Mytilus edulis: one gene and its partners. The protein of the gene in region 1 binds, or shares a complex with, the protein of each later gene. Links are inferred from orthologs where the notes say so. Each region holds a gene or a part of one and is shown on either strand. Other genes may lie near its edges. The genes, in order: DNA-directed RNA polymerases I, II, and III subunit RPABC1; general transcription factor IIF subunit 1-like; transcription initiation factor IIA subunit 1-like; ruvB-like 2.

The links.
Region 2: DNA-directed RNA polymerases I, II, and III subunit RPABC1 (region 1) and general transcription factor IIF subunit 1-like share a complex: the UniProt entries of both Homo sapiens proteins name them as parts of the TBP-based Pol II pre-initiation complex. The link is inferred for Mytilus edulis from reciprocal best matches to the Homo sapiens genes POLR2E and GTF2F1.
Region 3: DNA-directed RNA polymerases I, II, and III subunit RPABC1 (region 1) and transcription initiation factor IIA subunit 1-like share a complex: the UniProt entries of both Homo sapiens proteins name them as parts of the TBP-based Pol II pre-initiation complex. The link is inferred for Mytilus edulis from reciprocal best matches to the Homo sapiens genes POLR2E and GTF2A1.
Region 4: DNA-directed RNA polymerases I, II, and III subunit RPABC1 (region 1) and ruvB-like 2 share a complex: the UniProt entries of both Homo sapiens proteins name them as parts of the PAQosome complex. The link is inferred for Mytilus edulis from reciprocal best matches to the Homo sapiens genes POLR2E and RUVBL2.

The regions. Positions count from the first base shown.
Region 1 is NC_092344.1:115,151,518-115,158,484, forward strand, and holds the start of DNA-directed RNA polymerases I, II, and III subunit RPABC1, read right to left. Parts: upstream 3,012-6,967; 5' UTR 2,909-3,011; coding exon 2,852-2,908; intron 1,701-2,851; coding exon 1,612-1,700; intron 568-1,611; coding exon 506-567; intron 152-505; coding exon 12-151; intron 1-11. Other genes in the region: uncharacterized protein, read left to right, coding at 6,824-6,967. UniProt on the Homo sapiens protein: DNA-dependent RNA polymerase catalyzes the transcription of DNA into RNA using the four ribonucleoside triphosphates as substrates.
Region 2 is NC_092344.1:32,398,408-32,405,700, forward strand, and holds the start of general transcription factor IIF subunit 1-like, read right to left. Parts: upstream 3,024-7,293; 5' UTR 2,903-3,023; coding exon 2,873-2,902; intron 544-2,872; coding exon 494-543; intron 1-493. Other genes in the region: uncharacterized protein, read left to right, coding at 3,213-3,279, 3,953-3,987, 4,338-4,412, 6,488-6,644, 7,065-7,293. UniProt on the Homo sapiens protein: TFIIF is a general transcription initiation factor that binds to RNA polymerase II and helps to recruit it to the initiation complex in collaboration with TFIIB. It promotes transcription elongation.
Region 3 is NC_092346.1:68,136,509-68,144,344, reverse strand, and holds the start of transcription initiation factor IIA subunit 1-like, read right to left. Parts: upstream 3,026-7,836; 5' UTR 2,896-3,025; coding exon 2,875-2,895; intron 813-2,874; coding exon 711-812; intron 1-710. UniProt on the Homo sapiens protein: TFIIA is a component of the transcription machinery of RNA polymerase II and plays an important role in transcriptional activation. TFIIA in a complex with TBP mediates transcriptional activity.
Region 4 is NC_092350.1:44,665,922-44,673,891, forward strand, and holds the start of ruvB-like 2, read left to right. Parts: upstream 1-4,954; 5' UTR 4,955-5,040; coding exon 5,041-5,049; intron 5,050-6,898; coding exon 6,899-6,953; intron 6,954-7,970. UniProt on the Homo sapiens protein: Possesses single-stranded DNA-stimulated ATPase and ATP-dependent DNA helicase (5' to 3') activity; hexamerization is thought to be critical for ATP hydrolysis and adjacent subunits in the ring-like structure contribute to the ATPase activity.

The DNA of each region.
Region 1 (6,967 bases):
TATAAATATACCTGTTTTGCTGATGGGGTCATCCCTATCTGTACAACAATTATAGCTCTGGTAATATTTTCCTCCTGCATACGTTGACAGTAAGTCTTAATTGTCTTTATACCAACTTTTGGTTCTTCTGGGAAGAATACAAACATCTGATCTACAGTGAAAATGGAATTGATTAATTAGAGTTTAACCGGGTGCAAACTTTCATCACTATTGTAAGAATATTTTGTTACTTTGCACTTGCTTCATACTACCTACCTTTCACTAGCAATGAGCTTAAATATTCCAAATAGACCAATTTAAAGAGATGAATATATAAAGCTAAAACTTGTTAAAACATTTAACAAATTGGTATTATGAAATAGGGAAACCTTTTGAATGTGCAAAGTAAAATGAAAACTAAACATCAACGTATTTTATTGTTACTTTGCAGATGTCTGTATCTCTACTAAGCCTTTCAATGAATATAAAATTCTTACTTCATCAATTCTATTAATAAGATTGTTACCTGTTGGATCATCATTGTGTGCCACAAGAACAATCAAATCACTTCTAGCTGGTTTACGCTCACTGAAATTTACAAGAAAGTATTATACACATTCATTTTACAAAACTGTCCTAATTTCTTGTTACTAAACCTCAGAAGTTTAAATATCAGATCTTAGAAAATTTCAAATTAACTGCAATTGTTTACATTTTTTCAGTCATATTGTTACTTAAATCAGTCATGAGTGGAAAATATTACCATTTCAGACCCTTGAGGTAGATGTTTGTGTAAGTTTATCTGAAGTATATTGTTACAATCCTGTAAAATATCATTAAAGTGCACAAAAAAATAAGCATTAGATATCACTTAACCAGTCAATATCAACTCGATTTATTTATGAAGATTTAATTCACAAATTTATCATATCACACTCCACTACTACCATAAGAATAAGAGAATCTAAATCAAAATTACTTTGATGTATGGCACATGTAATTAAAAAAAAAATTTGAACATTAAACTTTGGCATTAAGTGGTAAAATGGGATATTCCCAATGACCATGTGCAGATATATTTTTGTTATATAATAATATACATAATCAAAATCTCGGAATATTTAAGATTTCGCCATATTCAAAAGATAAAAGAAAGAAATATGTGAAGTGTTCAAAATGTAAATATGTTGTGTTATTTTTCATAATTGCATGTTTTAAGTTACATTGTAGTTATATACTGACTAAGTCTAATTTTATTTATGATGAAAATGTTTTCCTTGTTTTTATCTAAAACTGCCCGATAAATGCATCGAATACATTTGCAGGTTGTCTTGTTTTTTAAAATCATAAAATTTATGTTTGTCTTTACAGTAATGCAAGTTTGTTTTTTTTTATGTCCCACATAGGGCATTATATTTTTCAGTCTGTGTCTCTGTTAATCTGTACATCCATGAGTCCGTCTATCAAGCTGCAGGTTAAAGTGAAACTTAGTAAACATGTTTCTTATGAAATGATCTTTCTAAGTTTAATGTCAAATCAAAGATTGAACCCAATTTCACACCTGAACACAGAAAATGATAGTGCGAGTGGGGCATCCGATGATTCGAGAACTATGAACACATTTTTCTTTACCTTGGCTTGTCTCCAAACTGGCCTTTAAACTCATCTAATGTTTGATCCAATTCATCCTGTGTTACAAGATATCCCCGGTCATGGCATAACTGAAAAAAATATGTAGATAAAAAACTACATCTATAAGCTCTATTGTTGTTTTTTTATATCACAACTAAACTTAGAGTTAGAACATATCCAACACTGTTGTATAAACTTGCCTGGACTGTGCCATGGGTCTATCTAAACAGTTTATTTCATTTATTCTTCCATGACATTCCAATAATCCCCCTTTCATAATTATTATGAGGTATTGGTCAGGGAAATGCCATATAAATTAAATCCTTTTGTATTTTCATATATATAGAAAGATATTGTCAATTTTAATTCAGATTTGATCTGTTTTGTAATATTTATAAGTGGCACCCATTCATAATATTGTATTCTGGTCTTACAAAATGTACATGTTGATAACATATTGATTATTATGATTAATGATAGTGTAACAAAACAGGGCATTCATTTCAATATTCTGAAATGTTTTTTCAAACACTTATCAAATATGTTTGACATGGTTCTGAAATGTCTCCAACAGTGCTGAACTGTCTATTAAACATGGAGTTGATTTGTTTTGTGCCAGTGATAAACTGTCTTGTTACATCAACATCATCATAACGGTACCTTTTAAAATGTTATATACAAAGTGCAGGGCTGATTCCAATTTGTAAGACTGGGTTGGGAGAATATACCCTTTTCCTGTTACAAAGTATCTGACAAAGAACCAGTTTAAAATTATCATCCAAATTCAATGATATTTGATTTTAGGCCACACCAATTTAATTTCTTGTTCTATGGATTTTTGGACTCTAAAAATTGGGGCGAGCGAGCGATTTGAAAATTTTAATAAAAAAATATTTAATTTGCTAATTTTTGAGGCGAAGTTTGAAAAGTAAAGGCGAGCGATTATAATTTTTTTTGTAAACATAAAATAGTAGGTTTTGACAATATTAAAACTGGATTTATCACTTGTACTTTGACATTTCTTTAATTTATGAAGTATTTTTCCCGGTTCACCAAGAAATAATTGAATAATTATAGTGACGAGCGCTAGCCTATATTTATTTCAAGGAACTTAATATAACACCAAAAAAATAAGATTCTTCTAAGACTTGTTTTCATTTTACATTTGTATGAACAAAACAAACCGAACAAAACATGGTTATTACTTAATTTATATTTCTAATTGTGTTGTTCTCATTACCTGCATTATTGTTTTACGTATTTTCCATAACTTGTATGTTTCTTGTTCATCATCCATCTTCGTAGCTTCTCTTTATGTTGTTATAGAAAGCTAAAATTGAAATAAACTTGCAACATGTGAAAATTAACCGGAAGTTGTAACATACTAGATTAAAACAAGACCGAGTACGGGTTAAAGTAATTTACGGGTTACACCAAAGACCTGAAAGTGGACCTGAAAAGACCTGAATAGGCCCGAAGGCATTTATAACGTGAGGTAGTCCAACGTGACGTCTTGAAATGCTATGATATTCTTTTTCTTTGACTGATAATATGAGGCAGGCATAACCTGTGAATGGGGACGAAGTCTGTATGTATTATTTTCTTACCTCAAACATGTTAATAAAGGAAACGGAAATACCGTAACGTTTCCGATTTCGGTTCTGTGGTTAGGGATTTAGCTGTGACGTTGTTTAAATTATGACGTCATATTCAATGTAAACAAAAGAAACGCTTCCATCAGGTAACGGTTTTTTTTTTTTCAAATCAAACAATTATTAAAAATGAAATTGTATTGAGTTCCAATCTTATATTTTACTAGACTGATACATATAATTTTCTTTTCAAAGTCTCATGCAAACAAGACAGATTTCTGCGCAAATGCGGGGAAAACCGGAACAGGAACTAGATCTGAAAAAAAAAGTTAACGATTTTGAGTTCATTAGTAGAATGAAAAATTCGGGAAATTTTCCCGATTTTTTTAAATTTTTTTTTTATTGATTTTTCTACCGTAATTGGGGACTTCGTCCCCATAATATGAGGCAGGCATAACCTGTGAATGGGGACGAAGTCTGTATGTATTATTTTCTTAATTCAATCATGTTGATAAAAGAAACCGAAATACCGTACGTAACGTTCCCGATTTTGGTTCTGTTTTTAGGGAATTAGCTGTGACGTTCTTTAAGTTATGACGTCATATTCGATGTAAACAAAAGAAACGCTTTCATCAGGTAACGTAACGTTTTTTTTTCCATATCAAACAATTATTAAAATTGAATTTGTATTGAGATCCAATCTTATGTTTTACTAGACTGATAAATATAAAAAAAAATCAAAGTCTCATGCAAACAAGACAGATTTCTGCGCAAATGCGGGAAAACCGGAACAGGAACTAGATCTGAATAAAAACGTTAAGGAAGTACACCACTAATTCATGGTCCCATTGCTTTCTATGTTAAATTCCTCCGTTTCAAGTAGGCACACCTCTTTTGTTTTAAGTTCAAATAAAGTGGCAATCATTGCATTTCAAAGCAACCCTTTATGGTGTCTTGTACTGAAAAAATCAACATACCTTTAATTGCATATAAGAAAGAACTGGTTCCCGAAACTTTGGATGTACCAAAACAGGTACTTCAGATCTGACAAACAGACAAAATGTACCCTCTTTTTAAAATTTGGTGCATTTTTTTTAATATTCAAAATCAAAAGTCCAAAAGTGTTTTACAATGATCACCAGTCCTTCAGCTTTCATTTGATACCAAAAATACCTAAATATTCTACATATTTTGAAAGTTACACTCATGCGTAGGAACTATTTTGTGTTAAATATGTACTACTTTCTGGTATGTGCTTTCTGGCCGGGCCTGAATTAGTGGTGTTACACCTTAACGATTTTGAGTTCATTAGTACAATGAAAAATTCGGGAAATTTTCCCAGATTTTTTTTTTTTTTTTTTTTTCATTGATTTTTCTACCGTAATTGGGGACTTCGTCCCCATATTATTTTTTTGACGTAAGGCGTCAAAGAAAAAAAATATCATAGCCTTTCAAGACGTCATAATTATTTGGACTAAACGTAAGGGTACGACTCAAATTATTCAAAATGCAATAACTTTTTTATTATTCAATGGAATTTCCTCAAGTTATAATTTTATTAAACTTAAATATTCATAGTTTTTTTTAAAGATTAAATGTTTTAAATAAAAAAAAACAGATTTTTGATACCTGAACGGAGATATGAAAAGACCTGAAAATCTATGATTGAACTTATTCTAACTTCACTAACTTTTTTAATATTCAATGAATTTCTTTCAACTTTAGATTTTGTAAAGCTAAAAGTTCAATATAATGATAATATTAAAAAAAAAATACGAAAAATATTCACGGTAAGGGTGTTAAAACTCGGACCTGAACGGGAAAGTAAATAACCTCAATTGACTTGAAAATCTGCGGTCAGATTTATTCAAGTTCATTAACACTTTTCAATCAATCTCCATAAATATGAATTTTGTAATAGGAAAGGTATAATATATCATTGAAATGATATAGAATTTTATCGAAAAAATAATTGTTGAGTTACAAAAATCGGACCTTGTCGGGGAAATAAAAGACCTGAACGGACATTGAAGATCTGACTCATAGGCGCGAAATATGCGAATTTGATGGTCCCGATTGAAACTTTTCAGATTGTTTGGAAGAAGCATCTGGGCAAGAAAACGTTCTTCCGAATTGACAAGACGATCTCGTAGTTCGTTTAGTAGATGGTCGGCTTAAAATTGTATATACCGATGTACGCACAACAAAACAGAACTGATAGAAAACACGGAAACCGTTTTGACAAATTGAAACACCTATATAGAGAGTCTATAAGAATCTACCAACCAGTAAACTTAATAGATATTGGATCATCAAAATTGACAATACTACACAAACAGGAAATATATATATATACAAGTCTAAATTGAAAACTACGTTCAAACCTATGATTGCGTTGGATAATAAAAACCGCAATTTTTATACGTGTGCATGTAAAACAAATTTCGTCGTAGAAGGGTCTAAATACAGCACAAACAACATTTTCCAAAAGACCAAAAAAGTGAAAAAATATATAAACAAAACGCATTTGACTAACAGGTCGACTAAATAATGTTCTTTAACCCTGCTTATATATAATTACAGTGAATCGCACTCTTTCTTTTTTTTGACTGTTCTGATTTTTTTAATTACGATTTTTTTCCCATTTCCTTTTGCACGCAAGTGCGTCTTTGCGTCAACGGTAGCTACGCCACTGTTAAATAATAAATACAGTTACGTATTTCACGTTTTAGGTTATTTTTTTCTTTTCAGTCAATGCTGTCCACCATATGATTTTTTTCTTCACAAATTATTTTTCTACAGTCATATAAACCCAAAAATCAGTTTAATTCTAGATATTTTTGGTGACCCTGGGAACAGTATATTTATGTTCCTGGGTGACCACATTTTATTTCATTTCTTACAATTTTACTGATGTACAGGGAAACATTATACAACTTGGATGAGGCTGTAAATAACATGTTGAATAGAATTCCATTGCACCTAGTCCAAATAATTATGCCGTTTTTGTACCACTTTTTGATAAAAAAAAAAAATCGACGCCTTCCTTCAACGTAGGCAGGCGTAACAGCAAAATCAAAAATAGCCTTTCTAGACGGCATAATTATTTGGACTACATTGGACCTAGGACCAGATAAGTAGTATGAAATGGGGTCAGTCCGCCACCAACCCGCCACCGGAAGTCACGTCACAGCTAATCCTCTTAACTATGACGTTAAATCCGGTCTATAATCTCTTAATCCTCTTAACTGGTACTTAACATCCTGGTTATAATCCTCTTAACTGAAGTAGATTAATCTCTTAATCCTCTTAACTGCTACTTAACATCCGGGTTATAATCCTCTTAACTGAAGTGGATTAATCTCCTAATCCTCTTAACTGCTTCTTAACATCCTGGTTATAATCCTCTTAACTGAAGTGGATTAATCTCTTAATCTTCTTAACTTGTACTTAACATCCTCGTTAAAATCCGGTGGGGAAAACAATTAACGGACATGTTTTTTAATCCCCCCTACCCTCCTACGTATTATCTTGTAAACGTGGCATACACGTTGACCTATCCAAGTTTACATCCCTTAGTATATAATGCAATGTGAACTAGTTTCAATCATTCATTCAAGATGGAAAATTTTAACCAACATATGATTGACCAACTGGTAAAAGTTATTCCACATGATGTGTTACAGAAGTTACAACAGCTGTCAGCGCAGGACTTTAATGCAGTTCTACAATCAGTTAAACAGCAAAATCCAACTGAAAAACAA
Region 2 (7,293 bases), about 83 Mb from region 1:
TGGACAGCCATGACAACATTAAGGTTGATCATTTCAATATATTTCACTGGAGGTCACTAAATCTAACCAATATATACATGATATATATATAAGAAGCAATTTGCTAGTGAAATCCAACAAGATTGAAAATGGAAATGGAGGGAATTTGTCAAGGCAACAACAACCCCGACAAAGAACAGAAAATGCATATGATTTTTAATATTTGGTTTGATCAGAACAGGTTACTTTAACAATCCTGTTCATGCTGTTGCATCAAATGGACTAGATGATTTTTGTCCAATGCATTTTATATACTAAGATAGAAATATAACTGGATTGAATTAATTTTTGAATCTACAATATACCAATTTTCTTGGATGGAGAAAAGATTATTTGAGCACTTAACTTTGTGGTTCATCAATCCCAACAAAATCCATAAAAATTGGTACTCCATGAGTTATATTGTCCCAAGTTAGTAACAAAATTTTTGGTTCCTCTAGCATAAACAACTTACTTGAGAACTCTTACACTGTGTTCTTGTGTGGCACTGCCAGAAGCTGCAGCCTATAAAAGTAACAAAAGTATCATGAGATTACAGAAGTATAATTGATTCATATAATCTGTATATATGTGTGTGAGTAAACTTTAAAATACAATGCTTGCTGAATGAACATTTTTTCTTTTGGGAAAAACACTAGTCACTAGTCAGAAGATTATATATTCTGATGTCTACATCTACATCTACATGGGTAATACGTAAACAGTCAGTTGACTCATCATACACATAATTAAGTTAAAATTAAAGTTGTGTCATCAAAAAGTGCTCTTTTAAAATCATATGTTCAGCATGTTCAGGTGTTTAACATATATATACATGTGCCAGTGCAGATAAAAACATGTGTGTGCTGATTTACAGATCTGTGTGATATGAGTTTGGTCTTGACTAATAGGCTAGGTGGTAGTTCATTACAGTTTGTGATGGTTCTTACGAAGAACCTATGCTTTCTTTTTTTCAGAACATGATCCTAATCTGACAAATTCTCTTTGATGGAGCAGAGGTGTCATTCTTGCTGGTGTCATCAAGCATTCTGGAATTGGGATTGCAATAAATTGGTGGATTATTTTGTGAAAAGGGAGTAAACATGATGTTTATCGTCCCTTATGTAGTTGTGGTAGTTTTATAAGGTCCTCTAATATATGGGTCTCGAGTATACTCATGCTGATGAATCTGGCTGCTCTCCTTTGCCTTTGGATCATTTCTAGTTGCATTGACATACATCTTATGGCTAATCCTGCTTGAACTGTTGACGTCATTACAGCAAACACATTTCCATTGATCTGTCAGATATTTTCTATTGTGACGTCAAAACTTTACGGGAACTATTGCGATGTCCAGTAACACAGTAGATCCAACATGCCTATTGTGCTAGGGTAGGCCAGAAACAATAGATTATTTTCTTATGGAATGTCCAGTTCTGCATGAAATCTGTGCACCTTATCTGCATAATATGTAGTATTGATGTGTGCATGAAATGTACCCATAGTACGTCACCCTAGACACTAACTTTATATTGGATCCAAGTAGCTTTATCTGTGACTGTGGTTGCAAGTGTAAATGTACTGATGCTTGCTACACTATAAAATACATAATGAGGAAGCTTTGCTTTGCTCTACACAGACTACAAACTTGTATGATCAAAAAAGCGTAAGGGTCTTTAACAGTAACCAACACTCATCCCACAAGGCATACCTCATATGTCTTTTTATGTTTATAACCATTTCTATTTGTCATTGTGCAAATTAAAGTACTCCTTCGAAGATAGGATTTTCTATACCAGAGAATGGCGGACAAATAGTGATAAGATGTATTGTTGTATGTGTTTTTGGAGATGTGGGTCCCAGACATTGCTAGCATATTCTAGTGTTGGTCATATATATCTAACGCTTTATATTACATGTAGGACGAAGTCCCCTATTACGGTAGAAAAATCAATAAAAAAAAGAAGAAAAAAAAAAAAATTCGAGAAAATTTCCCGAATTTTTTAGTATATACTACATTTACTAATGAACTCAAAATCGTTAAATTTTTTTCAGACTTTTTTAAATCCCCGCATTTGCGCAGAAATTTATTTCCTTTTTCCAGTCTTGTATGCATGAGACTTTGACTAAAATATATATTTATCAGTAAAGTAAAATAAAGGATTGGAACTCAAATACCAATAGGGCTCTTCACGGTTAGTTCGGCCATATTGGATAGGGGGCAGATTTTTTAGAAGGAGGTGGAAATGGTATGAAAGTGTGGGAAATCCTATGTGTGTTTCCAAGCAACAGCTCTGTTTTAATGATGTTTTCCCGTATTTTTCACACCATTTTTACCTCTATTATGAAAATCTGCCCCCTATCCAATATGGCCGAACTAACCGTGAAGAGCCCTATTCATTTTTAATAATCGTTTTATCATTTTATATGAAAAAAACGTTACCTGATGAAAGCGTTTCTTTTGTTTACATTGAATATGACGTCATAACTTAAATAACGTCACACTTAAATCCCTAACAACTGAACCAAAATCGAAAACATTACGGTATTTCCGTTTCTTTTATCAACATATTTGAATTAAAATAATAATTCATAGACTTCGTCCCCATTTACAGGTAATGCCTGCCTCATATTATTCGTTTGACATTTACCAAGATTCAGTCGTATAAAGCCTAAAGTTGTATTTGCCTTTGTACTTGTACTGATATTTTCCGATGTCATGGATGTGGTAATCTGGTAATTTCATGATAAAGTCAAGGATTTGTATACTATACAAATCCTCGATAAAGTGTTTGATAGCTGATGTGAGGACTTGTATTGTATCATCTTATATAATGTGTCAAATTAATCTTACCACCTGTGGCTGACTGATTGGCGTTGCCATCAAAATGTGGTTTTAGTTATATAGGCTATTTTCTAACTCGTAAAATAAAAAAATAAAAAAATTATAAGTTTTCGGTAAAATTTTCAACGCCGTTTTTATAGTAATGTTTTCGGATTTATATTATTCTCAAATGGACAGTTCGTGAAGAGTTATTTCAAAGGAAAAGAGAAAAGGCTGATAAAGGATCACTTTTATCTATTAAAAGAAGTAAACAGCTATCAAGACACTTCAGTTGCAATGACTTTTTAAAATACGAAAACAATTAAAGCAAGAAAATTATCATTGACCAAAAAGAGAAAATAACACAAGAATGGCCAGAAATGAGGAGAAACAACTTGGGAGGTTAAATAGGTTATTGTTGAAGCAACAAAAAGATGGTACTGACTTTAATATCAACTTAAGTTGCAGTCAAATAACAATTTTTAACAAGTTATATAAAAAGGGCCAGGCATAGTAAAATATAAAATTGTTCTATATTTATATCAGAGACATATATGTGTATATATGTCTCTGATTATATTTCTTATAGTTATATACACCTGAAGATCTGTGAAAGCAGTGAAAGTACTTGTAAAAGTAATGAATTGTTTTATATTATACTTATGTATACAAGTCACATTACTTGCAGATCTGTGAAAGCTGTGAAAGTACTAGTAAAAGTGATGAATTTAAACTGTTATTATCTTTTATTAATTTTCTATTATCATGATTATATAACATATTAAAATTCTTCTGGTTATTCCAGGCACTTTCTGTACTAAGTATAGAAAGTCCATGGTTATTCATTACTGAGTGACACATTTTAGATATTCTTCTTTTTGTTTAAAGAAACTATATATACAGTTCTGCCAACTTTTCATGAAGCAAATGCGTGAGATTTAATGACCAAAATTGAAAAGATCAAAGAGAAAAAACAATAGTTCAAAGGAAAATGCAGCCAAAAAAGCATGAACATGCGTGAGACTTGGCAGCCCTGTATTATATGTTTAAAATGTCTGCACCACCTTGCCATTTGGGTCTTTGATTCATTTGATTTAATTTATATTTCAGAACAGCAGAAGAAAAATCCCAAAAGACCTAGATTGGTATGTTGTTAGGTTTTTTTTTGTTATATTCATTGTGTTTAACAAATTAAATCAACACTTGATAAATTCTGTGTCTTTGAAGCTATTTTTAGAATTTATGTTCATGAATCAGGAATGTTCAAACAAACATTTGAAAGCCAGGAATGAGTGAATACTTACGGTCAACTGTGCCTTAGGGAGATGGATTCTTGTTCTTAATTTATGAAAATGAAATTTTAATTAAGTATGTTCAACATGATGTATTATGTTTCCAGGTGAATAAGGGAATTATATACCTATTCCTGCTTCTTTTTCCTTTAAAAGAGAATCTGTATTTATCAATAAAGGAAATCTACTTCTTATTATAACAGGATGAAATCAATACAGCTGAAGACATCAGATACTGGATACCAAGTATTAAAGATGATATTGACTTTTGTTTGAAGGTAGTTTCTTTTACTTTGTCACAGTTTCAATTTTGTTTCTATGTGTAGTTTTCAAATTTTATTTTATATCAGTGAGTCAGCAGTGCCGCAGCACCCCAATAACACTCAAAATAAATGTGTTCAAAATATATCCAGTCTTTAACAATAGATATGTGTCTATACAATATATGTATTAGTTAAAGTCCCAGGAAAAAAAGAAAATTTGTAAAGGAAACAAAAGTAGCTATAAAAACTAGCTTTCAACACTAAGTTGCCAAACAAACAAAAACGTTTCATAAAATAAAGCAACATCTTACTTGAGATAACCACATGAACATTTATTTTACGTGTAATTATGATATTGATATGAAAAAAACTGTATACCGGTACATAAGAAATTGTTCACTTAGTTAGTAAGTAAATAGATTTTAACATGCAAGAACTTGTACATTTTTGTGTAGTATGTGTATATTAAAGAAGTGGTTCATAGGTTCTTGAATTTATACTGATATTACCACAGGTTAACCCTGTATGCCAAAATTGTATCCCTCCCTGTAAAATATTTAGCATATTTATCTGAATATTTTACAAAAAGTGATATGGAGGGGTAAAATATCAACAGTAAATGTCAACCAGTAGTAAAATCAGTTTAAATTCAAGTCCTTATGCATTATTTCTATTATTATAGGAGCAATACAGCAATTCTTTTGGATGGAAGTGCTCTAGATGATGGCAAATATTTGCTGTTCCCTTAATTTAACCCTTTCAACGCTACACAAAAAAATAGAAAAATGGCTGCTGCTGCTGCATTTTTTTTGTGTTCATTCATTAGAACAGTATATTCCTTTTCAGACTGCTGTATCTTTTTTATTATAAGAGATACAGAAAAAGTTATTGCATGAAAAATGCACAGGAGAGTATGAACTGTAATGTTAGGCAGTTATTTCAGTAAAATTTTTATCAGGTTATCTGCATTTTCAGGTAATTAACAGGTAAAAGGTGTAATTTGTTACATTTGTGTTGAATTTTGAATAAAAACTACTTTTCGTCTTCATCTATTTTGTTTTTTTATCTGCCATATAATAAAGAAGACACCAATTGCTCGATTCCGTAGCGTATTGCACCATACACAACGTATTATGTAATCATGGCACAAATCAGTGGCTCCGTCCTCAAAATTTTCAGTCAACCTCCGTTTTCCCCCCTTTTTCTACGTCTCGTAATGATCGATCAAATCATATTTCCCACACGAATTGAATGTAATAAACACATTGAGATAACAAGAAACCTTTTAACTAATCCTCGTCATCAGTTTCGCCATAGAAATGCTGAAATATTTCCATATTTACAGCTTCGTTTCCGATTTCCGCCATTTGCATTTGTCAAAATATTTGTTTTTATTTTCCTTCAATTTTCCTTCTACTGCATGATTTTACAATAAAAATTGTCGGGATTTCAAGCGCAAATGAGACCTTGCATATCCTCGATTCATACAAGGAAAAATTAGAGAGAACCCGAATGAAAACCGAATGGTTTAAGAGTCCTTATGAAAAATCCGTTGTCATCGCGGCATATGCCGCGAATAGCAGTGGCGAACGGCGTATGTCATCGCGGCATATGCCGTGTATAGCGTTGAAAGGGTTAAAAACAACTATCAATATTGATGAAAGAGAAAAAGAAAACAAACTGATTTAATAACATACTAAAGTGATTTATAATAACATACTTAACTTAGAAAAGTTTCATGGGTTTTTAATGAAGTTAAATATTTTCCTTCTTTCATTTAAAAAAATGGCTTTCAACTTATTTTTTCATAGTTTGTTTATATTACTGTGTTTTGACGACTTTCAGTTTCACATTCCTGCATTATAAAAATATTACCTTTTAACTACATCTTCCTTTGATATAACAATTACAAATTTAAATGAAGGAGAGAGAGAGAGAAACTTTAGGATGTGTTATTTTTCTGAGTATTATTTTTTGGATTAATTAAGAATTGTTAAATTAGTCAATAAAATGACTTTCCAATTTTTTACTCAGATGTATTTAAATTTAAAAGAAATGGAAAATATACATTGATTATTTCATTATTTCAGCAATCACAAGTACCATGTTACCCTGAAGCAAAAATTAAAGAATTTAATCTGAAAATTGATCACTTACAAAGACAATACAAAGCATTTGTATGGAAGTTGAGGAAGCTTGATCCCAAAGTAAAGCAAATTCCATGGGTAGAGAGAGGCTATACAACAGGTTGTATGTTAAACCTATGTTATTTTTAACCTGATTTTTGTTATTCCATTTTCATCCAGTGGCATTGATGAAAACTATATTTCAAAACACAAACAAATTCTCAGAGTCTTAGGCATTCTATTATTAAAATCACACACCAAGACAATGTGATTTCTTACGAGTATCCATAACAAAGTAATGTATACTCAATGAATAGCTTAATTTTATTTTTATACAAAAATTGCATTTTGCATAGTCTTTAGGATTCTGAAAATATTGTTATCTTACTAATTTATATAGTTTGTTTCATGCACTTTTATTGTTCTTGAGTTATGTCCCTTTAAATGCAGAAACATCATCTGTGTCCCATGACATATTCCCAATTGTTTTTAATTTGATCACCAATATTTTCTTGTCTGTAACATTCTTCTGTTATTTTAGGACAGAAGAGGAAATTGAATTCGGATGAATCTGTGACTGTTCAAATGGCAATATCACATGAAATGCCATTTTGTCAAATGCCTGGAAAACGTACAAACATGTTATCATCATATGAAGGTTCAGACAGCACATCAATGTCAGCTAGTCAAACAGATTCAGTTAGTGCCAAAACAAATAAAGAGTTAAATGAAACTCCATGTGATCATCAGGAAAGCCAACAATTTTTACC
Region 3 (7,836 bases), on another chromosome or scaffold:
GTTGTCCTTTGGAAAACAGTTATTTGGTGTTATACACATATATAAATAATAATCAAAAGTGGGATATAATTTTAAGTGTAAGCCAACACATGTTTTTAAAAAATGTTAAAACAACCCAAATAAAACTGGTTCCTGTTAATGGATCATTGTTTTCAATTGGTGAACATAGTGAACTAACATGTAAATGTATGACACCAAGAAAAGTTACAAATTATTAAATCATTTTCCTTGATATACTGGAACTAACAAAATTTCTTAGGTTTTACACAATTAAGGAATGACTGTAATATTTTTTCTGTCTATGAAGAAATAACATAAAAAATTTGGTGCACACTGAATAACGCGCGTAGCAGGTTATTTTTACAGTGTGCACCACATTTTTTATTTTATTTCGAATAGACAGAAAAAATATTAGTCATTTCTTATAATTTAATTTTAAATTCCATTTTAAACCGTAGAAAACCATGAAAAAACGTTGATGACGTCACGGTCACATGACTAAATTATGTCTATGATAACAAAATAACGTCAGCCAATCAGAAGACGCGTTATATTCTAAATTAAGTTATTGTATAATACATTCAACTTTAACTCAAAATTATTACATGAAAACCTCTACTTCTACTGTGAGTTTAGACAACTCTTAAAAGTTTTAATTTCATAAAAAAATTTTAATGATAATTAAGTTCTATTATGACTAATAATGTCACCTGTTTAAGTTCTTGTAGGACTTGCTCATCAACTCCTTCATCTAGAAAGGCTTCTCTTACGTTAGCTATCACATCATCAACAACTGACTTGTATAATCTCGGCTACAATTAGAAAACAGAAAACATTTAACATCTATCATTTCAACCTTTTCAACATTGTTTTGATTGGTATTGTTTCTAGTACAAATTTATAGCACAATTTCTGCTTTTCTTTAACAAAGCATCTACAGTTACAACTTACATGACAATCATATAAAATGATTTTTACGATTTAAGTATAAACACCCTGTATGTATGATGTAAATATCATTCTCTTAGTTTATAGAGATTTATTGATTTGTGTTTAGCTCCACCTTTAACACTACTATGCTTTTTTGTTCCTGTCAGTTTTTATTGGTGGAGGAAGCAGAAGCGCCCAGAGAGAACCCCCAACCTTTAGTAGGAAAACTGACAATAATAGTCAACTAAGATAAGACTCTTATCATAAGAGTCAAGTGCAGCTGCCTCATACAGAATTCACAGGGCAGCATAATATATCTACTTATTCATTTTTATCAAATACCTGTTTACTCGAAGAAATATTGATACAGGACATTTTTAAAGAAACTAAAGTATTACCAGAATAGGAAATGAACACCCAGATATGAGGCTTGTAATGGACGAGTAACAGCTAAAATTCTTGCCATATGATATTAGAATAACGGGAAAATTCTTGTCATATAACGTTAAAGGTAATTTTTTATGCATGACCATTAAATGTTATTCTTTCAGACGATATTTAAAATTGTTTAATGAATCGCGTTAATTTTTTCCGAAAAATGATGATACTCTGCAAGTCATGATAAGGATATTTTTTAACAAATCAAGGTAGAATTTTAACCGATGATAAAGGGCATTACTGAGGGGGGATAGGACCATTATCGGGACTCCGGAATGGGGTGTTTTTAAGCTCGGGATTTCAGGATTGAACCTTTCGGGATCTGGAATTCTTTTTTTTGAATTTCAGGACCTCAGAATTTCATGTTTTTAAGCCCCTGATTTCGGGATTTCATGTTTTTAAGCCCGGGATTTAGGGATCAGGATCCCTCCTATCCCCCCTCATTACTACCCTCAGATATCATATTGTAAAAAAAAGCATTTTTTACGTAATGACAAAATAAAGCAGATCAAGCTCACAAAATATAAGGGCAAATACAAAGTTTGACAAACGCATTTATGACATTTATACATTTGTTTTAATATTCATTTATATCCATGTATAAGACTTCTATTAAGGTTCATGTGGACCCTATGGCTAAAATGGCCGTATTTTCACCTCAATATTTACTCTGAGTACAGACAAACCTGCGCATCTGTAAAAAATTTCAGGCATAGCATGCCCTAGATAAATAAATTTCAAATATGTTTTATGTTTTAGAAAAATAAAAACTTACCAGGATTTTGCCGTGCACTTTTTTTCATTCCTCCAGAAGGTGCCAAAATAAACTAAGTTGGGAAACAGGTTTGAGAACTTCCCCACAGGTAATAATTGAAGTGAGCTGTATTGCTAGACATGGACATGAGATGGACAATAGATACCTGACAATAATTGGTTATTTAAACTGTGTACCTGAGTGGACCATATCAAGGTAAACCCAACTGTTTGTTAATTTTATCATCTTCTGCAGGGACGAAAAAAAGTGTACGGCAAAATCCAGTTCAGTTATGAATTTTCTAAATCATACAATACATTTGAATTCTATTTATCTAGGGCATGCTATGCCTTAAAACTTTTCCAGATGCACAGGTTTGCCTGTACTCAGAGTAAATTTTGAGGTGAAAATACGGCCATTTTAGCCATAGGGTCCACATGAACCTTAAACTAACATGAAAAAGGGGGGTTTAAAAGATGCAAAATATTGTGTACAATACATGAAATACAACTTGTAATGAGCATTTTAGTGGTATTTCTGATATAGCAATTAAAATGTTGGATGCTTTATGGTTTTCCACAAGTACATTCAAATTTTCATTCAGGTCCACCTGTTGTTCGGTGGTTGATTATATCAGTTTACAAATCAAGATGGATTCCATTGTTTTCGATATATGATTTTTTTTATGAACGGTATTGACATTTTAGACAACAAATATTTTAACATAACAATCATTTTCTTTTGAAACTCACCACCTGGTTAGGTGTAGCCATTATTTAATGGTTTGTTTATGTCCGAGGAAAACGAGTCATATATTCCTCTGACTTGTGGGCTGTAAGAAAGCCGAAGTCGACTGCCACTGCTGCGCTTATATAGCTGGTATTAAATCCCGTATGTCTAGAGGGCGCTGCTACTGTTGACGTCACAAGCACCTGCCAGCTGATTGATTGTCTCGCGATATATTTCGAGGATAACTTGACGCGGGAAATACGAAATGATTACAAGAAAAGATTGCATATGTTAAATTAAAATATCGAAATGCACAGAATTACTGTCCCATTGGAAATCGATATGTCGTCTAGCATTTTTATATATTTTTTTATAAGTGTTACATATGCCTATTTGAAATGCCTGTTTGTTTATCTGTGTTTAAATTCAGAAGCAACCCGATTGTTTGGATTGTATACTACGGCCAAGGATTTGTATAGTGAGACTATACAAATCCTTGCTACGACAGAGACATATATATGTTACAGTGATTTTGTATAATCAGGGATTATGTAGAATCCCTGATTTTTCAGGGAATATGTAGAATCACTAAAACCATTAGTAATTATATATATAATCCCTGAAAATGACCAGTGATTTTACATAATCACTGAACTTTTTAATAATTATTCTACAAATTCCCTAATATGATTTCAGGGATTATGAATAATTTAATTATCCTTTGTTTGATAAAAAAAAATAATATAGACCTTGCCAGATGAAATAATTTTGCTTTTAAACACAGAGATTGATCTAAAAGATATAATCAACCGTGACAGGGTTTCGAGATAAAGTTGAAGACTTCAAAATTAATAATATCAACATTCCCTTTATAGCAATAGCTTTACATGTATTGTTTGTTTATTAAAAGCCAGCGTCAAATGAATATTCAGGTAAAAAAAAGAAGATGTGGTGTTATTGCCAATGAGACAACTGTCAACAAGAGACCAACATGACACAGAAATTAACATCTATAGGTCACCGTACGGATTCAACAATGAGCAAAGCCCATATACCGCATAGTCAGCTATAAAAGGCCCCGAAATGACAATGTAAAACAATCCAAACGAGAAAACTAACGGCCTTATTTATGCTCTATTTTTAAACCACAAAGCATGTTATTTGTGATACATGTAAAGCAAATGGTGAAGAAGGTTATGGAACATCTGTTTTGTGTGTTTTTGTTTTTGTTTAAATGAACAAGACATTCAAACTGTGAGAACTTAGGCATCTAAATGTAGGGAAAACAGGCAGAACTTAGGATTGACACATAGAAACAAATTTTAGAGGAAGCTTGCATTTGGTGTAATATTCTCATAGCAATTCCACATGGTAAAAAAGGAAAAGGAAACCCGAAAAACATAATGACAATTGTTTTAAAAAAAATCTGAAAAAGGTAGCACCTGACTACAAAACATGGTATCTTTCTTGCTCGTACCGGTTCAAGGTTGCAAATTCCTATCTTTTCTTGTGGTAACCTTCAGATGTTTTACTAAACACTTAATTTCACTTAGGCGTGTCGTTAAAATCTGATTCGATATGTGCAGGAAAAGGTTTCCTAAAATGTGGATATTGTGGTAATAACAGATGTGAAGCATATTATTTTTATATATTGTTTTTCACATTTTCATGTAGTGTGCCTAACATTTAAAAACTAGAGGGTCCAAGGACCCTGTGTCGCTCACCTGATATTTTTATTTACAATTGTTGCATGATAAATGCAACTGTTGTACTGTCGTTTAGTTTCAGAGATATAATACTAAAAAGTGCATTTGAAACCTATGTTTAATTTCAGCCATGTGGGCAGGCAGGGTCATCATACACAGTGGTCCCTGGATATCCTAGTGGTGATTTAAACCAAGTTTGTTTAAATTCAACAGTTGTTTCAGGGGAGAATTTTTGTAAAATTTATCTAACAAGAAATGCAAAGTAATGAGAAAGTTGTGAAGTAGTTTTGTTGTTGCGCAACACCCCCCCCCCCCCCCCCCCCCCCCCCACTTTGCCAAAAAAACCAAAAAGGTAATAAAAAATTATCATATAAGGGCAATCTATCCTATTAATGATTTCTGCAAAATTCAGTTGATTGTGCAAGGGTTGTATAGCCAGCTGAGGTCGTTAAAAACTCTCTTTCTTTTGTTGTTGCAGATAGATCTTGACCTGATAAGCAATTCTACCACATGTCAGATTTGCTCTAAATGCTTTGGTTTTTGAGTGATAAGCCAAAAACTGCATTTTACCCCTATGTTCTATTTTTAGCCATGGCGGCCATCTTGATTGGTTGGCCGGGTCACCGGACACAATTTTTAAACTAGATACCCCAATGATGATTGTGGCCAAGTTTGGTTTAATTTGGTCCAGTAGTTTCAGAGAAGAAGATTTTTGTAAAAGATAACTAAGATTTACGAAAAATGGTTAAAAATTGACTATAAAGGGCAATAACTCCTAAAGGGGTCAACAGACCATTTTGGTCATGTTGACTTATTTGTAGATCTTACTTAGCTGAACATTTTTGCTGTTTACAGTTTATCTCTATCTATAATAATATTCAAGATAATAATCAAAAACAGCAAAATTTCCTTAAAATTACCAATTCAGGGGCAGCAACCTATCAACGAGTTGTCCGATTCATCTCAAAATTTCAGGGCAGATAGATCTTGACCTGATAAACAATTTTACCCCATGTCAGATTTGCCCTAAATGCTTCGGTTTTTGAGTGATAAGCCAAAAACTGCATTTTACCACTATGTTCTATTTTTAGCCATGGCGGCCATCTTGGTTGGTTGGCCGGATCACCGGGCACAATTTTTAAACTAGATACCCCAATGATGATTGTGGCTAAGTTTGGTTTAATTTGGTCCAGTAGTTTCAGAGGAGAAGATTTTTGTAAAAGATAATTAAGATTTACGAAAAATGGTTAAAAATTGACTATAAAGGGCAATAACTTCTAAAGGGGTCAACAGACCATTTTGGTCATGTTGACTTATTTGTAGATCTTACTTTGTTGAACATTTTTGTTGTTCACAGTTTATCTCTATCTATAATAATATTCAAGATAATAACCAAAAACAGCAAAATTTTCTCAAAATTACCAATTCAGGGGCAGCAACCTATCAACGGGTTGTCCGATTCATCTCAAAATTTCAGGGCAAATAGATCTTGACCTGATAAACAATTTTACCCCATGTCAGATTTGCCCTAAATGCTTTGGTTTTTGAGTTATAAGCCAAAAACTGCATTTTACCCCTATGTTCTATTTTTAGCCATGGCGGCCATCTTGGTTGGTTGGGCGGGTCACCGGACACAATTTTTAAACTAGATACCCCAATGATGATTGTGGCCAAGTTTGGTTTAATTTGGTCCAGTAGTTTCAGAGGAGAAGATTTTTGTAAAAGTTAACGACGGACGACGACGACGACGGACGACGACGACGGACGACGGACGCCAAGTGATGAGAAAAGCTCACTTGGCCCTTCGGGCCAGGTGAGCTAAAAATTGGGTTATCATTTTGATATATTGTGCTTAACATTTTACAATTTATGTTACTTTATAATGATGTTTTTATGTGATTTTATAGAATAAATAATTTCAATTTCATTCATTTTCTTTATAAATAAAACTATTAATTTCTTCATTTCAGTTATTATGTAGAATCCCTGACGTTTTTTCTAGTGATTATTCATAATCCCTGAAAATTTTAGTTATTATATATAATCCCTAAACTAGGCAGTGATTCTACATAATCCCTGAAAATTTCAGGAAAATTTCAGGGATTCTACATAATCACTGATTATACAAATTCACTGTAACATATACACAGTGTATATATGTCTCTGACTACGGTCTGAAGGATATAAAAGATCAGATATGTCCAAAAATTAAAGGACCAAAAAATAACACCCAAAGAAATGTACTTTAGCTAGATCAGCTTTGCCCCCAGGGAATTGAAACCCTGCTTTCGTAATCATTTCTTAATGCATCAATAGAAAAGTTTCAAATTTAGTTTGTTTTTTTTAAATTGAAAATTTTATTTAATTGAAAAAAGTAGTTGACAATAGGCCTATATCTAGCAAAATGTATAATTGGTTTAAAATCATGATTTAAACTATACAAATAATACTGAAATTCGATATTTTTTTTTTGTATTTAAGAAACTGGACAATTTCAGTAATAAGACATATAAATATTGATTTCTCGTTGTATGATACTACCTTAATTCGTCTTAAATCCGCTTCATTTCGACTTATGAATGTTGAATTATTATCTTATTTACCATTATACCATTTTTCTTAAAACATCATCACAAAAATTGAAAATTGATTATAGTAATTTATTTTGCTTTTCAAATAATGTAAATCCTTTAAAAGAGACAAATTAATGTAACAAACAAAGGCGGGGGGGGGGGGGGTGGGGGGGGGGGGGGGGGGGGTAAATTGAATAACCTCCAAACTTGAGGAGCGTGTCTAGTGTGCCGACAGGCCAGCGTTTCCTGCCTTTTATTCGTCACCGCCATGCGAATTCATTAAGTCAAAATGACATACTTGGTACTGAATTTCAGAAGTTAAGAGGACTCTACTGCCGCTGACAAGATATAAGACAACAAAGACCGCGAAAACATGTCACTGTTGAGTTAAGACTCCGACACATTGTATCTGTCAACCAATTATTGATAGTGAGTGTAAAATTAATTTAGTTTTGGTTTTAATCGTTCATTCTCGTAACTCTGTTGGAGCCGAGTTTTTTTTTTTTTGTAAAGAGCTCAGCTTAGTCTGAATTGTGTGAAAATTAAAAAGCGTAACGTTTAAACTAAGATATGAAAATTGTCATCCGATGGAGAAGAAGGTATATAACTGCTGAGGAATGGGTAGTTGACAACTACAAAATTGAAGTAATCAGTCACAATGCATTTTTGAAGTCGTCCATCTGTGAGATATGAGGATACATTGTAT
Region 4 (7,970 bases), on another chromosome or scaffold:
TATTATAATTTCATCAGTCTTGTATTATGCACAGCTTTATTTTGCTGCTAAATGAGTATTTCCAAAACAATAGTTAAGAATTTTTGCCAGTTTATGTTCAAAGTAAATAGTGTGACCCGAGGCAGGACAGGTTGAAAATGTTTGCAATTTTCTGTTGAGTATTCCTTGGTCATCAAGACTGCCTTTTTCAATGTGTGATAAAAGTAAACAAAAAAGTATGAAAATACTTGTGTATAAATTGTAATAAGTAAACATTGATAGAGGTGTACTTCAATTTTATTACAGTCTTTCAGAGAGATTTTATTTCATATTTGCTTATAGTTTGGTGCTGTTTTTGAAATAGAATGTTCATAATTTTATTTATCTGAATGAATTAAAGGTTAAATCTGAGTGATTGACAGGAGCGAATGTTGTCTAAAGCTTGATACTGAACTAGAAAAAATATTGTATTATATGCTTTCGTACCTTTTTGTGAATATTAAATCCTAAGCTCCTAATTTGATAATACCACACTGTGGAGAGGTTAAAAAACCCTATATATGTCTACAAGAGAGAGACCAGATTTATTAAATAAAGGCAGAATTTTGTAATCTCCTTTAATTGTTTCAATGTTTCATCAAATTTCCTTGCTTAATCACTTCTAAAAATCTAAAAATTAAACAATTGATTAAATAATTTTTTTTAGAAGTTATGAGTTATCTCCCATTTTGACATTCAAAAGTCCAAATATATAGAAATCAGATTGATATAGAATTTATACAAATAAATATTTTTGCAAATTTGAAATTGAATTGTTAGTGAGTCATTTCATTATTAGTCCAAACAGTTTATTTATTTTGCAATTGTCAAGTTTGACTATAAATGTACTATATATAAATTTTGTATGCATTAGATTTTGCACTAAAAGTGAAACAAATTTATTTTATTAGATGTAAAATGAGTGTTGTATACATTCTAAACAGTTTGATGCCTCATTTGCTAGATTGTATATGTTCATTATGCTAAAACTTTAATGTCTTGGTGTAATGTTTTATGGTTAAATGTGCTGTTCACATTTAAAATTGAGCCATTTAGATATGTCAATTTAATACTGTTGGCTGTTTGTATATAGACTTTGCCTAAATTGATATAGATCTTTGTTCTTTGATCAGCACTGGGTTTTTTTTTTACTTTACATATCAGAAGTCATAATTTGCTTGAAATTTTGGCTTGAAACTACAAGCAAATTTTTCTGTTTTTAAAATTGATAAAAAATTCACTTGATTTAGGCTCAGTGTGTGCTTTCTACCTGAAATCTCAGGAAAGATACCTACCAGGTCAATCATTCATCATTATATAAACTTGTAATTTGGCTTGATTCAAAACACTTGGCTATTTCATGTTGAATACTGTAAAAGTTTTGTTTTTTTTGTGTTGTATTTGATCTTTGTTGTTTTGTGGCTACAAATACATTAACCATTGTACCTATATAATATATATCATTAAAAATAAATTAGTGTTGTAATGTTTAAAAACCATGAAATAATAAACCTGTGAACATGCTGAGAGAATTCAAAACCAAAAAAATTACCATGTTTTAAAGTTTTTTGATTTGAATCTTGGGTATATGAGTATTTGGAGTATGAGGTTTTTAAACAAAAAAATTTATGTCTGTTAATTGATATGCCTATGTATGGATGATTCAAAGTTGTAAATGAATGATTCAAATTTATAATTGAATTCATGATTCAAGTTTGTAAATAAATGATTCAAATTCGTAAATGAATGATTCAAATTTAAAAAATGAAATTCTTGATATATTTTATATTTATAATTTATTATTTTGTTATTTATATTTATTATTATATTATTTTGTATGTACACAATAATGGATACATCATGCAGTGCTTTTGATTCATTTTAGCACATTAAAGAAATTCTGCAAAACTTTGTTTTTTTATATGAAAAAGGAATTTCTTTGCCTTTTTAGCATTTTAAGTTTAATTTGAGGAAATTACTTATTATAAGTATTTGGTAAACAGGAAGTTGATGAGTGAGGGATGTAAAGAGCATTACACATAAAAGGTTGATTCCATATTTCTGAAAGCCTTGACTGTCACAAAAAATGTATTCATGTTCATAATATGTCTAAATACATTTGTACAAGTATTTGGTAAACAGGAAGTTGATGAGTGAGGGATGTAAAGAGCATTACACATAAAAGGTTGATTCCATATTTCTGAAAGCCTTGACTGTCACAAAAAATGTATTCATGTTCATAATATGTCTAAATACAAGTAATCAGTAAATTGTGGTATATGAGTGATGAATCTGAAAGTGCATCACACAGTCAAGCATGCCGATGTGGAGCTTGATATCAAATTTCAGAAGCTCAAAATTTAAGTTCCTGAGAAAAATTTGATCAAAATGTTATTAAACTATGGACATATGTTAACCAGTACACCCATTTCTTTTGTAGCAGGTGTAAAATATAAATTATATAGTCACCCTAAAAAGAGTACAAGTATGAATAGATGAATATATTTTAATAAATCAGTTATTGTTTTTGAAAAACCTATCCTTTCTCAATTTTAACAAAAACAAAAACAAAGCAAGAATTTCTGAATTTACATTATATCAGAAACATTTGTGGAAAACATACATCAATGAGACAGCAACCCAACAGTGTATGTTAATCAATATTTTAAATTGATGCCAAAAGTCCTTCATACAGTCATCATTCTCTACATGAAAGAAAACCATAACAAAAACTTGATAACACCGCTACATTGACAACTACACTTAAGTAAACTGCATATTTTAATGACAATAAATGTTGTTATCAATGTAGCAGTATTTTATTTTTTGCTCACCTGGCCAAAAGGGCCAAGTGGGCTTTTCACTTGGCATCCGTCATCGTCTGTCATTAACTTTTTTCACAAATCTTCTCTGAAACTACAGGACCAAAGGAGTAGGGGCAAAAATTACTGCAAATTTTAAAAATTTCATACATATTCTTAAATAACTTAAAACTTTACTAAGGTTCAAGTTATCCAGAAAAACAAAACAAGTTTGACATTGAATGAGTTACCATGGCAACAAATTATGACATAATTTGCAAATTTTGTAAAATTTTCATGGTTTTCCTTGTTTTTCATCAAATTTTAAGTATATGTTAGATTTAAAAAGTATGTGCACACCCAAGAAACAACTTTATATTTGGGGAGATTATATCAACAGTTATAATAATGCTTCTGTTAAATTATTTTGTTGTTTCTTGGCTGAGCACGCTGTTTCCACAACAGAAATAATGATAGAAAACTGCATAAATTCTGGATTTTTCACCATTATTGTGGAAACAGTACATATTTTGACGTAATTGTGATGTCATCAGTTAAAAATCTTTGTTTTTCATTTATATTTTTTTATCCTATGCATTTCTAAACATTATGTGCCAATTTGAAAAAGATATCAAACATTTTATTTTCTTGGGCTAAAACCAGGCATTAATGCCCCTACTCCTTTAAGTAAAACTTGGCCACAATAATCATTGGGGTATCTATTTTAAAAAGAGTTCTGATGACCCAGCCAACTAACCAAGATGGCCACCATGGCTAAAAATAGAACATAGGGGTAAAATGTAGATTTTGGCTTATATCTCTGAAACCAAAGCATTTAGATCAAATCTGAAATGGGGTTTATCAGGTCAACATTTGTCTACCCTCAAATTTTCAGACAAATCTGAAACTTAACGGTTGCATTATTTCATGCATCAATTGTAAATAAAAATATCAGGTGAACGACATGATATCATATGATATCCATTTAAAGGAACTATAAACACAAAACATAGGAGGCATTAGTTCAGCAGCTCTTTATTTCTTTATTTATTAAAAAGTAAAGAATAACAGAGTATTCAGGTCATAGCCATGATGCAGAATAAAGATTCAGAAGCTAAGTATTAATTACTCCTTAAAATTAATGTTGGACATTATAAAAAAAAACCTCAGTAAAGTTTTGAATTTATCATTTTAATTGTGTATCTATTATGTCTGATCAGAGATGAGAGGTTATGTCATACCTGTAGGAATTGGTAAAAACTGATGACCAAACATACATATCTGTTAACTAAAGATTTGTTAATGAATTTAGCTCCTAATCATAACCAAATTGCACTAGTTCTGTCTTTTGCAGGATTTTGAGATTTCATCACAATACAAACCAAAAGCCTTCCTATTCCAAAAATTTCCCAGTTCATTGAGGCATAAATATATATATATTAAAATCACTTGAAAGGTCAACAACAACAATTCAAGATAACAGGAAAATATTAAGAAAAAAAATAGGAAGTGTAAGAAATGCATGTCATTTCTTGTATATTTGTATTAATTTTGCCCCACTGATAAACATGAAAAAAATAATTCAGATTTAAAGAAAACTAAAAAATACTGATATATTAAAAAGAAAGGGGGGGGTGCTTAAAAAAATGTTCTATTCCCAAGTACCTTAGCAAAAACTTAAAACAGTGGGCTGACCTTTTCAGTCATTAGATCTGTTTTTAACACTTATTTGGCTGAACAATTACTGAGAATATAGTTTCTATTTTATTTATCATATTTTTTCTCAGTTTTTTTTAAAGTTAGCAAAAATTGCAACAATATAAGACAGAATTAAGCCTAGTCAATTTCTTGAAATGGTAATAAACTTTACTTTGCATCCTAAAAACCTTGTCATGAATTTGAACAACAACATGCAGGAACCTTTTTTTTTTCTTCAAGTCAATAAAATTTATTAATTTTAATTTTCAAAACAATTTTTAATTTTAAAAGAGAATCAATCATATTATATTTCAAACCACATGCACATGTTTCTGTAAAAATCGCTTAATACCTTTTTATAACAGATATAAAGTTAACAATAATTAGAGACATGTGCCTGTGGGAAACCATAGAGATTGTGACACTGTTTTGTGTTTCACGTTTTTACATGTCCGTTTCCAGAATATTCTTGTCGACTCAGAAGATTATTGTACTTAGATAGAGGGCGCTACAAACACCGGCAATGGCAGTCGTAAGTCGCATTTTCTTCTTTTTCGTGATAAATCAACTCCTTTAGACTGTAATCAAAACATGATTATTCAAAGAAAGCATTATGAAACTTCAAAGCTAGACTCCTAGACATATATTGACCTCTAAAGTTTATTTGGGTTCCCAATCTGTGAGGTGACGGCCCCCACGTGTTTGTTGTCAACAAAAACAAAAAGCGAAAAGTGAAAGAAAACAAATATAATTTGCACAAGTAGTTACCTGTTACTTGATGAGAGGCAATTTCGAAGATAACTTAAAACAAATGTCTTATAGGATATCTGTCATCCAAAATTGCGAACTAAATTTCAGATGAACTTTCCAACAAAATATAAAAAAATAAAAATTTTCAGAAATTTAAAAATGCATCAATTCCATTAGCTGCGGAACCGTAGCTCTTAGGTCCTTATACTATTTTTTGACTATTTGCAGACCATAGAGCTTATGATTATAAACAATACATTTTTGGGAAATAAGTGCGACCTGAACCTGGGTCGCAATTCCGAACATTTTGAAATAGGAAAAATCCGTAGCTCTATGGTCCACAAATAGTCAAAAAATAGCATAAGGACCGCAGCTGCAATTCCATCATTAGTAAAACTGTCTAATATTAATTATAGTACAAAAACAGTTCTGACGGTACACCTACACAAATAGTGTTAATGATTTAGTCTGAATATGTACCAGCATGAACAATACTCATAATCATGATAATCGCTATACATGTATATAGGTATCAAGTCCATTTGTCCTGATTACATGTTCGCCTTGAATTTGTTCTGCATGTTTTGATTAAAAAAATGTTATTTCACGGTTATTAAAGTTTAATAGGTTTACTCAGATAATTATTTGGTATAAATACTCAAAATTCATGAAAATACATGGAAAGATTTTAAAGTCAGTCTGCACCAAAAACTTTTTCAACTACTAGTCCGAAGACCAATATTCTGACATTTTTCTTATTGGACCAAACAAAGTTTTGCAAAAACTTACTAGTCCGAACCAAATTTTACTAGTCTGGGGCATCGGACTAGTGGCTAACCGTGCAGACTGTTAAAGTTACTGGCTTGTTTTAGAGCAATTTATTGTTTATGGTAATATTAATTCTCATTGATTGTTGTAATAATTACAATACTCATAAAAGTCTTTAATGGAAAAATAATAAAACAACATTTTGTTTTGATAAACTACAGTCAGCATGGAATGATTAAAAAAAACCAATCGTTTACGAATTGTAAAACATGAATAGGATTCATAAGTTCATTGATTTATTACGACTGATGACTAGACTAATTAGAATTGCAAAAATAGTTATGAATAAAATAAATCTGACATACTCTGTTCAAATAATGAACATTTTTTAATTACATGAATTAAACAACAATCCCCAAAAAATAAAAAAAATTAGGGCGAATGGACGCTGGGCGAACAGACCCAGATTCACACTATTCCTCATGATAGACCAGTTCTGGGATATGGTAGTTAGTTGAATCTGTCATATGACTTCCATCACCAAGTGATTAAGATGTAGGCATCATAATTTCAAACAAACGAAAAAGACACAGTACCTCTAAATTGAATAAATTCAAAATATAAAAAATGCTTTGTAAAAAAAATCTTAATTAGTTCCAACTTATTTTTAATAAACTTTAAACTTCTACTGATTCTGTAATCTGCATAGGGATAGATTGATAGATATTCAATTTAATAATAATAAATTGCCTCAAAAACCTTAAACATGTTAAAGAATCTCTTTTTTACTTTATTCTGAAAATTTGAATAACACAAGGCAAGATAAGAAGATATATGTGCATAATATGTTTTGTTTGTTACAGCCATCAGCAGAAACCGTTAAAGAAGTGAGAGAGGTGACAAGGATTGAAAGAATAGGTAAACTTTGTTAACACTTTCCTCTATGGAGATTTTAATTTTACATATAGATCATGCAGCAGTCAGCTTAATTTAGTTTTAACCCTTTCAACGCTATACACGGCATATGCCGCGATGACATACATCGTCCGCCACTGCTATTCGCAGCATATGCCGCGATGACAACGGATTTTTCATAAGGACTCTTAAACCATTCGGTTTTCATTCGGGTCCTCTCTAATTTTTCCTTGTATGAATCGAGGATATGCAAGGTCTCATTGATCTTGAAATCCCGGCAATTTTTATTGTAAAATCATGCAGTAGAAGGAAAATTGAAAGAAAATAAAAACAAATATTTTGACAAATGCAAATGGCAGAAATCGGAAACGAAGCTGTAAATATGGAAATATTTCAGCATTTCTATGGCGAAACTGATGACGAGGATTAGTTAAAAGGTTTCTTGTTATCTCAATGTGTTTATTACATTCAATTCATGTGGGAAATATGATTTGATCGATCATTACGAGACGTAGAAAAAGGGGGGAAAACGGAGGTTGACTGAAAATTTTGAGGACAGAGCCACTGATTTGTGCCATGATTACATAATACGTTGTGTATGGTGCAATACGCTACGGAATTGAGCAATTGGTGTCTTCTTTATTATATGGCAGATAAAAAAAAAATAGATGAAGACAAAAAGTAGTTTTTATTCAAAATTCAACACAAATGTAACAAATTACACCTTTTACCTGTTAATTACCTGAAAATGCAGGTAACCTGATAAAAATTTTACTGAAATAACTGCCTAGCATTACAGTTCATACTCTCCTGAGCATTTTTCATGCAATAACTTTTTCTGTATCTCTTACAATAAAAAAGATACAGCAGTCTGAAAAGGAATATACTGTTCTAATGAATGAACACAAAAAAAAATGCAGCAGCAGCAGCCATTTTTCTATTTTTTTGTGTAGCGTTGAAAGGGTTAAAAAGAATTAAAAGAATTTATATTGTTCAATTTTTCATTGAATAAATTATTTT